2 linked regions of the Ovis aries genome follow. The protein of the gene in region 1 purifies or fractionates together with the protein of each later gene. This does not show direct contact. Links are inferred from orthologs where the notes say so. Each region holds a gene or a part of one and is shown on either strand. Other genes may lie near its edges.

The links. The genes of interacting proteins can lie anywhere in the genome.
Region 2: the proteins of RAB11A (region 1) and EVI5 purify together in Homo sapiens (co-immunoprecipitation; 3 studies listed by BioGRID and IntAct, with this or other methods). This does not show direct contact. The link is inferred for Ovis aries from reciprocal best matches to the Homo sapiens genes RAB11A and EVI5.

What each region holds. Positions count from the first base shown.
Region 1 is NC_056060.1:12,715,558-12,723,544, forward strand, and holds the start of RAB11A (ras-related protein Rab-11A), read left to right. Parts: upstream 1-2,967; 5' UTR 2,968-3,074; coding exon 3,075-3,114; intron 3,115-7,987. UniProt on the Homo sapiens protein: The small GTPases Rab are key regulators of intracellular membrane trafficking, from the formation of transport vesicles to their fusion with membranes.
Region 2 is NC_056054.1:69,895,600-69,903,106, reverse strand, and holds part of EVI5 (ecotropic viral integration site 5 protein homolog), read left to right. Parts: intron 1-122; coding exon 123-197; intron 198-4,500; coding exon 4,501-4,626; intron 4,627-6,046; coding exon 6,047-6,190; intron 6,191-7,148; coding exon 7,149-7,238; intron 7,239-7,343; coding exon 7,344-7,441; intron 7,442-7,507. UniProt on the Homo sapiens protein: Functions as a regulator of cell cycle progression by stabilizing the FBXO5 protein and promoting cyclin-A accumulation during interphase. May play a role in cytokinesis.

The sequences.
Region 1 (7,987 bases):
GGGAATGATGCTAAAGCTGAAACTCCAGTATTTTGGCCACCTCATGAGAAGAGTTGACTCACTGGAAAAGACTCTGATGCTGGGAGGGATTGGGGGCAGGAGGAGAAGGGGACGACCGAGGATGAGATGGCTGGATGGCATCACGGACTCGATGGATGTGAGTCTGGGTGAACTCCGGGAGATGGTGATGGACAGGGAGGCCTGGTGTGCTATGATTCATGGGGTCGCAAAGAGTTGGACACGACTGAGTGACTGAACTGAACTGAACTGAAGTTATGACCAACCTAGATAGTATATTCAAAAGCAGAGACATTACTTTGCCGACTAAGGTCTATCTAGTCAAGGCTATGGTTTTTCCAGTGGTCATGTATGGATGTGAGAGTTGGACTGTGAAGAAAGCTGAGCGCCGAAGAATTGATGCTTTTGAACTGTGGTGTTGGAGAAGACTCTTGAGAGTCCCTTGGACTGCAAGGAGATCCAACCAGTCCATCCTAAAGGAGATCAACCCTGGGATTTCTTTGGAGGGAATGATGCTAAAGCTGAAGCTCCAGGACTTTGGCCACCTCATGTGAAGAGTTGACTCATTGGAAAAGACTCTGAAGCTGGGAGGGATTTGGGGGTAGGAGGAGAAGGCGACGACAGAGGATGAAATGCCTGGATGGAATCATGGACTTGATGGACGTGAGTCTGAGTGAACCCTGGGAGATGGTGATGGACAGGGAGGCCTGGCGTGCTGCGATTCATGGGGTCGCAAAGAGTCGGACACGACTGAGCGACTGAACTGAACTCAGGAGTCAGTGCTAGCTCCTCCTCTTCCAGGTAGTTCTTTGTTTGTTTTTCCTATTTATTTGACTGCACCAGGTCACCAGGTCTTTGTTGTGGCACATGGGATCTTCAGTCTACCTTATGGCATTCGGATCTAGTTCTCTGACCAGGGATCCAACCCAAGTTCCTGGACTGGGAGCTTAGAATCTTAGCCACTGTACTGCCAGGCAAGTCCCCAGGGAGTTCTTCCTAATTATCTCAGTTCCTCTGAGCTACCCATTTGTTGCCAGAATTGCTCATTCTGCTCGTTACTCCTTCAGAACTGTTATTGACCCTTTGGTAAACCTTCTGTTGCTATATACTGCTTTGGAAAGCACTGAAAATGGCACTGTATTAGTTTTCTATTGCTGCTGTAACAAATTACCGCAATGTTGGTGACAAAACTACAGAAATTTATTACTTTATAGTACTATAGATCTGAAGTCTGACACGGGTATCACTGGGCTAAAATCAAGGTATCAGCAGGGCTGTGTTCTTTCTGGTGGCCTTAGGGAAGACTCAGTTTCCTTGCCTTTTCCATCTCCTCTTATTTATATTTTGCCTTTTCCATCTTCTATAAGCCTCTGCATTCCTAGGCTCCTGGCCCCCTTTCTTCATGTTCAAAGCTAAAAGGGCCTGTTGAAGCCTTCGCACACCATAACACTCTGACCTCCCTTTTCCACTTTTAAGGACACTTGAGAGGACATTAGGCCCACATGGAGACTCCAAAGATAATTGTCCTGTTTTAAAGTTAGTTGATTTGCAACCTTAATTCCACCTGCAACCTTAATTTCCCTTTGCCACATAATCTAGTATATTCACAGGTCCCAAGGATTGGGATGTGGACATTTTGGGAGAGCCTTTATTCTACTTACTACAGGCACCCTTGATGAAAACTTAAATTGCACACAGGTGTAGTGAGGTTTGACAATAAATGGGTACAGCTTTTTGGCATAAACATAGTGCTTATGTACTCAGTGTGTCCCACTCTCTGGGACCCCATGGACTGGATAGCCCACCAGGCTCCTCTGTCCATGGGATTTTTCAGGGGTGGGTTGCCACTTCCTCCTTCAGGGAATGAGATCAAGCCAGAGTCCCCTGCATCTGCAGGCAGATTCTTTACCACTGAGCCATCATAAGTCTCGTCACATACAGGGAGGCCCTGGTGTGTGATCTTTGGAAATCACTTGAACCTCCCCATCCACGTTTCTGCAAAAATGGAAATTGTCATCCTTTGCTCTGCATGTTAAAGAAAATAACTATGTAACCAGGTTCAGCTTAAAGGGTGACAAATAGGGTTCAAGAAGTTCTTGATGAATTTTGATGAGGAGGGTGGGCGAGGTTCTGTGAATACATCTGGAGACAGTTTGAGAGATTTCTGGAGAGAAGGAGTGGAAAGTGCCTGCCCTCGTATGAAGTTGGAGGCTGAAAATTCTAACAAAAGCAATCAACTTTTCATGGAAGCTTTCGAAGACGGCCGAGGTTAAAAAAACAAAAAGGGTGAAGTGTAGAGGATACTTAGGAGACACCTAGGTAACAGAGTACAGAACTGAAGGAAATGCATGTGCTCTTCCTAGGCAACTGAGTTTCGTGGCATTCCCTCCCTACTCAGTTCAAGAACACATATACCCCGCAGGTGTACAAGAGTCACCTTGTGAATAAGTACATGACTTATAAAATCGTGGCCAGGGAAAAAACAAAACCCAAACCAAAAGTGTAAGGAATACAGGTTCCACCGAGATTTGAACTCGGATCGCTGGATTCAGAGTCCAGAGTGCTAACCATTACACCATGGAACCGCCACGCTCACGATCCTGCCTTCGACTCTCTAATCCTTAGAGAACCCCGCCCCCATCCACAAACCGACCACCAGAGGCAGTGCTGAAGCGCTCTCCAGTGCCCCACTTCCCCGAATAGCGGCGAGTGGAGTGAGGGAGAGACTATTATGTATGGAGAGCAGCCTCTATCAGTGAGGTAAGCCGGGAGTACAGTGCTCATTAACCCACTCGAAACCCCTCCAAGCCCGGGAAGCTTGGACAACAGACGACAAACTTGCGCACGCCCCCTTTATTGGGCTGAGGGGCGGGGCGCCGCCCCCGGAAGTACTTCCCCCTATGGGTGGGGGCCTGCCGGAAGTGGCGTAGCGGCAGGGAGGGGTTCTTTACCGGGTCCGGCAGCTGAAGCTCGGCGTTCGGGTTACCCCTGCAGCGACGCCCCCTGGTCCCACCGGTACCACTGCTGCTCCCGCCCCTTCGCTTCTCGGCCGCGCAATGGGCACCCGCGACGACGAGTACGACTACCTCTTCAAAGGTGAGGCTGTGGGCTCCGGAAGTCTCCCTGGAGTCCCGGTTTGGGGGCCCGGGACACTCCCGGGGGACCCGCCCGCGGGTTGCCCCTGCCCTGAGATCGGCCTTCCTCAGCTCTTCCTCTCTGTGCAGCTTATCCTGAGGTCCCCCAGCTCAGCCCCTTTCCTTCCACTCACGGATGGGGGTCCTCACCACACAGCGGTCTCATAGCGACCTCCCCAGAGGCCTTAGGAAGCCTCACGGTCCCTACCCTGCGCCCCTCTCGCGGCCGACTGCCGTCTCTCGAATCGCTTTCCTTCCTCCTCGGGTTCCAGGGCCCCCTTAATGGGGCGCCCACCCCCCACCATCCATGTTTTCGGGTTCAGCGCCCCCTCCCCTTCGGTATACACCCTTCCTGAGCCCCTCCGACAGGCCTTTCCCTTCGTTCTTCACCTTTCTTTAGGCGAACTCTCCCATACAGATCTTTTTCTTATCTGCCTCCCTTTTCCCTCGGGCGAACCCTCCTCTGCCCTCGGACAGCCGCCTCTCCTCGCCCTCTTCTATCCCCGGGGCCAGGCCCTGGTTAAAAATCCGAGCGGGTCGGCGGCCCCACCCCCACCCGCCCCACACTTCTCGTGGCCCGAAACCTCGCATGGCCCCCGGCATTGGTAGCTCTTTTTCTGCCTTCCCTCGGCGAGTAGTTTACGAGCTCTCCCACGTCGCTCGTGCGACCCCGGCGGTGGGGGGTAGGGCAGGAGGGATTGTCCCAGCACCCACGCGCGCACTTGTCGCAGTGACCCGGCAGACCGATGTGACTTCCCACCCAGCCTTCTTTTCTCCTACCCTCCCTACCCAGAGGCAACCAGCCTGGGATAACTCTTGACTCTGTCCGAGACTAGGGGATACGGATGGGTGGTGGCTGTTATCCTTGCCAGACCTGAAGGCCCAGTTCCTGAGCAGGAAAGGTTGTACGCTGCACAAATAGCTTGCTTTATCGCTACGGACTGGTTGCTTCCTGCTGCAACGCTGGGAGGATCCAGCCTTTTGGTGTTTTTAGAACAGGAAGGGAAGCGTCCTGGTTGGCCACATACCTTTCCCCAAAGGTGGGGGAGCATGGGGAAGTTGTGTGCTCTTTGGTCAAATTAAATATTTTTCATAAGATAGGGAACCATGTAGTGCCCTTGGACAAAACATAGTGGAGGATGGGGAGTGAAAAAAAGAATTGCTTATTGGTTAGTCCGGAAAGAATCCAAATAGTTTTGTGTTTTTTTTTTTAATCGACAAAGATAATGGGTACAGTTTTCCTTGAGAGGAAAGTACAGTAAATGCTTTTTTTGTTGGATGAATGCTCTCTCTCTGATGCTGTTTCTCTGGTCCTGAGTTAGGAGGGCAGCCATCAGTACTATGCTGAACAAAGATCATTACCAAGGAGGAAGAAGCCATTACTATTAAAGCTTTACAGTGAAGGGTGGAGTTTGAAAAGAATGTTAAGCTTAATGACTCTTTCTGACTTTGCCACTGGGTGCTAAGTATGGTTGACTAAACAGAGCAGGAAACATTGCTTTACCAGTACTCTGCAAACCTTGGCCTACTAGTTGATGGGCCTACTGCCACTTAACTCTTCTGGGCCAGAAATTCTGGCCCAGAGTGAGTACCTTCAGTATCCACTCCCACCGCCTGACAGTGGGAAGTTGTTTACAGAGAAGAGGGTACTTAATCATTTTACAAATACAAAAAAGAAACATGGATTAGTTTACATACTGTTGGCTGAAGGCTTCTGAGGTCTGGTGAAATTACTTCAGTGAGACCCTGGAGACTGGGGTTTAGTCATTAAAGGGAGATTTGTTTTTTTTTACATAAGGGCTGCTTTTGAAGTAATTAATTTAGGACAAGATAGACTGTCATTCTCTTGTTTGGTTTACAACTTGAGTGTTGGTTATAGAACCTAGTTATTTCCTCACCAAAAATACTTAGTACCTTGGATTGGCTTAAGGGATTTTAACTTAGCTTTGGGGTTTAGACCACTTTGCTAACAATGATTGAGAAAGCCCAGGGCTTTGGAATGGCACAGGCCTGGTTTCAGATTACTGCCTCAGGTCTTACATTTGCTTTGTGACCTTGGGAAAGCTGACTTTTGAGCCTCAGTTCTCTCATCTGTAAAAATAAAATAGTATCTCTCAGGGTTGTTGTGAGAATTAAGTGAGACTGTAAAGTTTTAGCTTCTTTGAGAACTCAGATAATGTTAAAGAAGTTACTGTGGTTCTCAAAAGTTTTTTTTTTTTTTTCCTTAAAACCGTAAATCTATAACTGGAAGAGCATTTAAGTATTAGTAAAGAAACTTAAAACTAGAGCCTTCTAAAGTACCTTATATTTCCACAGGTTTTGGTTTCATTTGTTGTACACTTTGCTGTTAGAATGTTTTTAAAAATTCTGCTGAGAAAGATTTCCACTTTTAAAAAAGCTCTTAATAGGATATGAGTCACTTTTTAACTTCTTTGATGATTATATAGCCAATTTCTTATTTATACAATTTTAATTTAAAAAGAAGCAACAATAATTTCAGTTTTAAATGGTTTTATGCTATGTAGATATTCCCTGAGATGAGCTGCAGCTGTCTCCTTGGAAAAAGAACCTAGCAAACTTAATAGTTGAGGGAATTGTAAATTAGTTTGTAGCTCTAACCAGTTGAGAATGAAAGGATATCCTGATTGGTGTAAGATGGAGTGGTTCAAGTGGAAGAATGGGGAGAGTAGGAAAATTTTAAATTATGTATTTGTTCTTGAACATTAATCTTTAGCTCAACAGTGAGACTGCTGGTGGTGGTGAATTTTAATTTTAAAACTTGACTGTTTTAAAAACTTTAATTCTACATTTACACACAGTGTCCCTGTGGGACAGACACATAAGTGAAGTATAAATCAATCATAGTTCCTATTGGCAAATATTGTGGTAGACATTAACTCAGTCAGAGTCACATATTCTGAAAATATCCGTGTACGTAGTCTACACCATTTTCTTTTCAGTCTAATTGAAGGTCAGTAGTAATTAACCATCAGCTGATTATTAGTGGGGCTGATCATAGGAACTTTGCTGTCTTGCATCTTGATAGTTTTCTTTCACAACTTATGGTTGAGCAATTTGGGTTCTGCTGAATCTAGAAAAACTTGTCTAGACTTCAGCCTTATTTAATTTTAAAAAAGACTCTTGGTGAGTTTGGACTATGAATATAGTTGAAAGTAGAAAGATCTCCAGGTTTATTTATAAACCAGTGTGAAAATTATCAGTTACTTCAGGTTATAACTGTTAGGTCTGAGATACTATGATTTGTTGAATGAAATTTTTGTCTAGTACATTAGTTTGTAACAGACTGTATAAAACTAAATGTGGTTGAAGAGTTGGAAATTCTTATTAAATAATGGTCAGTTAATGCGTATATTCTTTTTATAGCTTTTAGCAGCCTAGTATTTGATATATAATGAACCAAATTTAGTATTAGATGAGGTTAACCAAGTGATAATGAATATTATCAGATTTATTTAAGAAATGTGGTTTCATATACAGATTCTATTATTTAATTTATACTTACATATATATATTTTATGTAGATGGCTACAGTTATAAAATGTTTAAAGTGGAAAAACTTTAAGATACTAGTGATAAAAAGTAAGGAAAGTCACTGCAAATTCCTTTTTTGAACTATAGGATGTGATCATGTAGTGGGTCGTATTTTAAAAAAGCAATTGAATATTGTCATCTTAATGAAAATATTTTTGATTAGAAACTAAGTTTGAGTCTGTGAACTTTTGAATTGTTTTTAAAATCACAGTGAATTCTTTTCAGTTGTTTAGGTAACAATCCATTTTAGTTTGTTTATTATTTAGTGAGCCTAAATATAACCTTTCTTGGTTCAGTTTCTCATTTGGTAACTGCATAGAAGAGGTTTTCCATATTGTGTCATTTCTCAGCAGCATCTTGGCAGTGCTGTTCTTAAAGAAGCAATATATTCTGTTGTCACTTAAGGTATAATCCTTTAACAAGTTGCTAGTCATAATTCTTGTCAACCTTGCCGGTGTCGAGTTGAGATAACTTTTATACTGTATAAAGTATTAATGTATCTTGAATTATTTTCAGATAAAGGTCTAGTAATATTTTTTATGTTAAAATTAATTGGTTATATCAAGGGAAAAAATGTTCTCTCTAAATGTCTTTATGACAGTGCAAAGATTTGAGAATGGGGAGACAGAATATAATCGATAAAGTGGAGGTTAAAAGGCAAGAAACCAAAACTTGAAAGTACTAGAGTTTTTGTGGGATGGAGTTACTGAGTTCTTTGAGTTATTTATTTTATTTTCCAAAGGTATTGCCATTCTGTTTATTTTTATTTATTTTTTTCGGCTGCACCGTGTGGCATTTGGGATCTTAGTTCCCCCACTAGGGGTCAAACCCGTGCCTCCTTCCGTGGAAGGGCGTGGAGTCCTAACCACTGGACCATCGGGAAGTCCTGGCAGTGTCAGTCTAGATGTCTTGCTCTTTCGCTTTGAACCAAGTGGTTGGTTTCTAAACTGATTGATCTGACTGATAAATCTGAGTGCCTTGGAAGTAGAAATGTTCAACTTTTTGGTTTTTCCATTTCCTATTCCTACTTCAAGTGAAGCTTTCATACCTTAGTGCTAGTGTAGGGCCAGGAAAGATTCAAAAGAGGTGTCATCAGCAGAACATCCAGCCTTCTGAACTGAGAGGCAACCTTAGTTCCCTACTGAGTGAGTATACTCTGCTAATAAGGTAGACTTTTATTACTGACACTGGAATTTTACCTCACGTAGAATGGAGGGCCTTGAAAACTAACTTACGAGCCAGCTGTAGTATACTGTAAAATTGGAAATGCGTTGTTTTTAGAT
Region 2 (7,507 bases), on another chromosome or scaffold:
CAAGAGCTTCTCTAAAAAATAAATGGTCTTTAACCCACATTCTCACTATTTTTAGGCTTGTAGAGAAGGAAGGTATGCTATATCATGATAAAGTATTTTGAACAACATTTTTTACTTTTTAGGCGTATTCTTTAGTGGATCGTGAGGTTGGTTACTGTCAAGGAAGTGCTTTTATAGTTGGATTGCTGCTTATGCAGGTAGGTTATATAAGTATTAAAGTTGGAGAATTTAAAAATCATCCTTGTTTTTAGTAAGTGGATTTTGGGTGTTTTTCTCCTAAGCATAATCTAAATAAGAACATTTAGTTTGCATTTTAAAATATTAAACATGTTGAAAATAACACATGGTAAATATCCTGCCACTAAATCAAATTTCATCTTATCTACATTTGGAATCTTATATGTCTGTATTTAATGAGGAATAATCTTTTCCCAGCTAAGGAGGACTGATTAAAGTGTTTCTATAGAAATCTTACTTTATGGGACTTCTCTGGTGGGTTTGATCCCTTATTGAACTAAGATCCCCCATATTGTGTGGCAAGGCTACATGCACACACAAGTCATAGTTATGATATACAGTGTCTTTGGAAGTTTATACAGTACTTTTATTTGTCACAGAACTGAGGGCTTGTTACACCTGTCTTATTATAGGCTTAAAAATAGTGGTACTCAGTCACTTCTGCTGCCTTAGGGATAAACATGTTTCCATTGGCAGTGGCTTGTATTGGGTGGGGTGTTTTTGGAAGTCAAGGACAGGGCAGTAAGTCATAGCTTTGACAGGAAATAGCATATGATGTTATCTATTTAGCAGTATTGAAAATTTTTTTAAAGTCTATCTTACTCTTGTATTAAGTCTCAGACTGAAATATAACTTGAAAAGAAATCTTGGAGAAAACTTTTGAGTCATTTAGGCTTGTTTTTGCAACTCAGTTCTGCACTGAGTTCTGTAACCTTGGGCTAGATTATTTTAACATCTTTTTCTTAGCCTTAATTAGGTACTACTTCTACTTTTAGATTCATTATGAGGGTTATATAATATATGTAATAGGCTAGCATGGTGTTTGACACATGGTAGACATGCAATAGAAGTTCAGTGACTTGCCCAAGGTCACATATCTTGGTAGATAAGAGCAGTGTAGGAATCAGAAACTGTTTCTCTACTGTTACTGTTGTTCAGTCGCTCAGTAGTGTCACACTCTTTGTGACTACATGGTGTGCAGCATGCCAGGCTTCCCTGTCCTTCACCAACTTCCGGAGCTTGCTCAAACTCATGTCCATTGAGTCGGTGATGCCATCCAACCATCTCATGCTCTGTTGTCCCCTTCTCCTGCCTTCAATCTTTCCCAGCATCAGGGTCTTTTCTAATGAGTCAGTTCTTCACATCAGGTGGCCAAAGTTTTGGAGTTTCAGCTTCAGCATCAGTCCTTCCAATGAATATTCAGGACTGATTTCCTTTAGGATGGACTGGCTGTCCAAGGGACTCTCAAGAGTCTTCTCCAGCACCATAGTTCAAAAGCATCAATTCCTCGGCACTCAGCTTTCTTTGTAGTCCAACTTTCACATCCATACATAACTACTGGAAAAACCATAGCTTCGACTAGATGGACCTTCGTTGCCAAAGTAAGGTCGCTGCTTTTTAATATGCTGTCTAAGTTTGTTATAACTTTTCTTCCAAGGAGCAAGCATCTTTAATTTCATGGCTGCAGTCACCATCTGCAGTGATTTTGGAGCCCAAGAAAATAAAGTCTGCCACTGTTTCCCCATCTATTTGCCATGATGTGATGGGACCAGATGCCGCTATCTTCATTTTTGGAATGTTGAGTTTTAAGTCAGCTTGAAAACTCTCCTCTTTTACCTTCATGAAGAGGCTCTTTAGTTCCTCTTCACTTTCTGCATAAGGGTGGTGGCATCTGCATATCTGAGGTTGTTGATATTTTCCCTTGTAATCTTGATTTCAGCTTGTGCTTCATCCACCCTGGCATTTTGCGTGATGTACTCTGCATATAAGTTAAATAAGCAGGGTGACAGTATATATCCTTTCACAATTTTGAACCAGTCTATTGTGCCATGTCCGGTTCTAACTGTTGCTTCTTAACTGCATACAGGTTTCTCAGGAGGCAGATAAGGTGGTCTGGTATTCCCATCCCTTGAAGAATTTTCCACAGTTTGTTGTGATCCACACGGTCAAAGGCTTTAGCATAGTCAATGAAGCAGAAGTTGATGTTTTTCTGAAATTCTCTTGCTTTTTCTATAATCCAACGGATGTTGGCAATTTGATCTCTGGTTCCCCTGCCTTTTCTAAATCCAGCTTGAACATCTGGAAGTTCTCGGTTCTCATACTGTTGAAGTGGAGAATTTTCAGCATTACGTTACTAGCATGTGAGATGAGTATAATTGTGCGGTAGTTTGAACATTCTTTGGCATTGCCTTTCTTTGGGATTGAAATGAAAACTGACCTTTTTCAGTCCTGTGGCCACTGCTGAGTTTTCCAAATTTGCTGGCATATTGAGTGCAGCACTTTCACAGCATCCTCTTTTAGGATTTGAAATAGCTCAACTGAAATTCCATCACCTCCACTAGTTCATAATGGTGCTTCCTAAGGCCCAGTTGACTTTGCATTCCAGGATGTCTGACTCTAGGTGAGTCAGACATGGTGTTAAAATAGTTAAGAGTACTGGGTATATGTTTTGTGTAATCTTAGTACTGCTTTAAAATTGGGCAAATAGTGTCCCCACTAGACCTTTGCAAAAGACATGATTCTTATTAACTCGGTGTCATAGAGAAAATGTGTATCAGAGAGAAGGGGCAGTTAGTGGCGATGAGGCATTGAGGTCCAAGGAGGGACATGTGCGTCTCTATTCCTGCCCTCTTCCAGTGCTGAGGGAGAGAAAACAGCTTCCTCAGGAGACAGCCAGATTTCGGTTTTGAAGTATCCTTAGGGGGAGTCAGGTTTCACTTAGAGAAAGACAGTGAAAGAACATTTGATGAGGAGATTGAGGGTATAGATAGGATATTTTATTGATGGCAGGCTATTAGTTCCAGAAAGTCCTGTGTAAAAGGTTTAGGGCATATTAGAAATGGGGTAGATTATGGAAGCACTGGAAGCACATGGGATGAGCGTTCTAGGATACTGGGTTTCTTGTAGTGACTGACATAAAAATCAGTGAGGCTATAAAGCTTGATAGGATTAATGAAGATATGTGTTGGGAGGAAGGAAGGAAGGATGAGTTTTGCTAAGAATAGTTCTTGGCTCCTGTTCATTCCCTGTGTTGAGGCCAGGGAAAATGTATTGTTAATAAATGTAGTCTTCAATAAGAAAAGCGCTTAGAGACCTTTTGAGGTTTCCTCTTTTAAAACACACTGGTATAGTGTGAGTGAATGAACATTAGAAAATTTTATCTTAATACACAAGAAATTCCCTGGCAGTCCAGTGGTTAGGACTGTATGCTCCCAGGGCATGGGTTTGGAGAACTCATATCTCTGCATGACACAAAAATAAAGATCACACAGTAATTTGTATGTTATGTATCTAAATTTAATATCTGTGTAACTCTACAGAGCTTTTATATTCAGTATCTTAGTTGATGTAATTATCTAGTGGGTTACACACAAAATGTGAAATTGAAACCTTTAAAACCCTAATTACATTTCTGCTCAGAACCCTTGAAAAGCCTCCCATCTCACTTAAGATAAAAGTTCAAGTCCTTACAGTGGTTTCTAAAATCCTAAGGTTTGGTTTGTTGTATTTCTCCTCTATAACCATACCTTCATTTGTAACATCACTCCTAATTTAGTAGTCCCCCATTTATTGTTCCTTGAGCATGCCACTCGTGATTCCATTTCAAGATATTTGTATTATTCTCTCAGTACTGTTCTTCCCTCAGTTGTTCCCTTACTTTCAGTATTCTGCTCCAATGTAACCTTACCAAGAGACATTCTCTGACCTACATATAAATAAATAGAACGTATCTCCCCAGGATTCCCTGTTGCTTTACTTTGTCTTATTTCAATAGCACTTTGCACCATCTGACATATATTAATTGATTTATTCCATATATTGCCTGGAGAATCCCATACACAGAGGAGCCTGTCAGGCTACAGGGTGGGTCACAAGAGTCGGGCACTATTAGGGACTAAACCACCATGTATTGTCTTATCTCCCCCTACTGGAAGGTTCAAACTCCCTGAAAGTAGACTATTTTGTTCACTGGTGTATGAGAGAGAGAGAAGTATCTGGCGTTAAATGAATATTTGTTGATTGAATTCATGAGTTAGGCAAGTGAGGCAGCTGGTCTCAGTTGTAAGATTTGCCTAATTTCTCATTGATGGTGATAGAATGGGAAGTTAGAATCTTCTGATTCCTAGTCCATTGCTCTTAATATTATATCACTTGGCACTCAAAACAGTGGTTATAGTTGGATAAGTACTTAGTTTAAATGTATTAGCTTATTTGTTTATCACAGAACATTAATAGATGTTGCTTTTTTTCCTCCTAATGCAGATGCCAGAAGAAGAAGCTTTCTGTGTATTTGTTAAATTAATGCAAGATTATAGACTTCGTGAACTTTTTAAACCAAGTATGGCAGAATTAGGCCTTTGTATGTACCAGTTTGAATGCATGATACAGGTAAAAGTGTGGTGTTAACCAAAAACATACTGCCTTTGTATTTTTTGTCATCTTGGTTTGAGTGACAACTAAGCAAATTTAATGTCAAAAGCATTAAAGCAACTGAAAAAAAAATCACTGTTTTGATTACATGATTATTTGTTGGTCCGTTAACCCACAGTTTAGACTTTACTTCCCAGTTAGGTGCTGTGCCAGGTAGATCATCTGGAACTTTACTACAATTTTTATGTTCAAATCTTAAACATTTGTGCCAAATATATCATAACCTAGGTGCATGAGTTTCTTTATTATGCTGTGTTGATCACATTATTTTATGTAGATTATGCTCTCCTACAGAAGCCCATGACATTTGGACGCTGATACAATTCATTTCCTTTGAGATGGGATCTCATCTTTTCAATCCTCTCCCCTGCCTTTCCCCTACCTTTCTTTACTGCCTTTCATCTCACTTTTTCTGCTAACCTGTAATCTTAAAAAAATTACTGTCTCTATCCTTTTATATTGTTGATTTAAGATTCATAGTCTTATTGACTGTCTGAGGGTAAAGAGAAGAAGAAAGAGAGGAATCAAAACCAAGTGAAAAATACCTTTAAAGTATTTCACCTTTCTGGATTTAATTTTTGTATTTATATAAGTAGATTTGGTATTTTCCCCTGTGGTATAATGGTATAAATATTCTCCATTTACTTACATTTCCATTAGGTAAGCAAACTTTAAGAATATAAGTTAAGGATTCAGCTGGCATAAGAGCCATTTTCCTGAGAAAAGTCTCCATTTCCCTGGCAGCCTTACCCACAGGAATTTTAAAATCCTTTACCTTTTCTATGTGTGATGAGAAGAAAGGGATATACCAAATGTTTTTGCATTTTAAAGAGAAAGACAAAGTAGGTCTTGATGATTCTTATTGGTCTTTTAAATAGTAAGCTTATTTTTATCAACCTTAAACTCCCTTGGTTTATTTTCAGTTAATGTGTCATTTATGTTTTGAATTAACTAGAGTTACTGAAGTATCTCAGATGAGAAGGGAGCTTAGGATAGGCAGTCAGGGTTATATAGCACCTGAAAGTATTTCAACATAGCATCTTTCCTTTAAAAAATTTTTTTTAAAAAATATTATAGTTTATATAAAAGTAAAGAAAATTGTAAAAATTTTACTTATTTATTGTAATTTTTCTTATTAAGAAATCATTAGGAAGTTCCAACTTTTTAAGTTCCAACTCCACATCCTTTTTCCCTTCTTCCTTTTCCAAATAGTAACCACTATCTAAAGTGTCCATTTCTGCCTCTTATTTCTTCCATGTGATTCCTGAATTTTCATGTTTATGTTTGGTAAGGGCTAATTTAGTATGTGTACAATAGTTTGGCTTAAAATACTCAGTTTTATAGTGTTTTAGTTAATTAATTCCTTTCTTCTGTTTAGGAGCACCTTCCAGAGCTCTTTGTGCATTTTCAGTCTCAGAGTTTTCATACTTCAATGTATGCATCATCATGGTTTCTGACTATCTTCCTTACAACTTTTCCACTACCAATCGCAACAAGGATATTTGATATCTTTATGTCTGAGGTAAGTTAGTGGGCAGCTTACCAGACTGAGCAAAGGAATCACTGGGTTAATGAGAGCTAGGCAATGAGGAGAACAATAAAGGAGACTCATGTGTTCCATGCTAAGCTGCTTGCATGGATAATCTCATTTAATCCTATAACATCCCTATGAGTACTGTTCATCTCCTCATTTGATGGATGACAGGTGAAGAAACTGATACTTAGAGAAACATTAAGTAGCTTGTCTATGGACACATAACACATAAGTGGTATAGTAACCAAGATTCAAACATAGGCAGTCAAAATCAGGAGCCTGTACTCTTAATCAGACCTGAATTACCTCCTTTTTGATTTAGTGAGAATTAGTGAGGGTTAAAATTTCCTTTACAGTTAATATTGTTGCAATGCATCTGTTACCCAAAGAAGAAGTAATGAGTATAATTTTCTTCTATCCCATGAACACCTTGCAGGTAGTCCTTTTAACTGTCACTGACATGTAGTGGTGACCCTTTGTCTTCTGTATTTTGACTGAGAAAGTAGGAAGGTAAGGATAGGTGATCAGTGATAGAGAGCACCTAAGAATGTTATTAATTATTATTAATTACATCTTGGGAAGATCAATTTATATAACATAGCTTAATTCGGTTAGTCTGGAGCCAGGAAACTATGAATCGTGTACTGATCTATCCTGGTTTGCCTGCCAAATCTGTCCTTTCTGTAAATAAAGTTTCTTGGAACATAGCCATCACTGTTTGTTGATATGATGTCTGTGTCTGCTTTTCAGCTGCAATTCCAGGGTTGATTATTTGTGACACTTATAGGTAGGGCCTAAAGCCTAAAACATTTGTTTTCCAACTCTTTACAGAAAATGTGTGCTGTCCTCTAGTTTAGGTACCTAAGTGTTTACCTTAATATTCTTTTGAGTGATTAGTTGTTGTGGAAGAGTAAGTTAAATTTGACTTTATAATTTGATTCTTCAGGGTTTAGAAATAGTGTTTCGGGTAGGATTAGCGCTTCTTCAGATGAATCAGGCAGAACTGATGCAACTCGACATGGAAGGGATGTTACAGGTAAGCCAGGTCATGATTTCTTAAATGTCTTTAGATTTTACTATGTATTGGTGAATAATAAATGGCACTAAGTAATTCTTATGTTTTTCTTCTGTTGTATCTTAGCACTTTCAGAAGGTCATTCCACATCAGTTTGATGGTGGTCCAGACAAATTAATCCAGGCAGCTTACCAAGTCAAGTATAACTCTAAAAAAATGAAAAAGTAAGTTAAGTATTTTATATTTTGTTTTTTTAGTTAATATTGGTTTGTCAGTGCATTTTAGGAGAT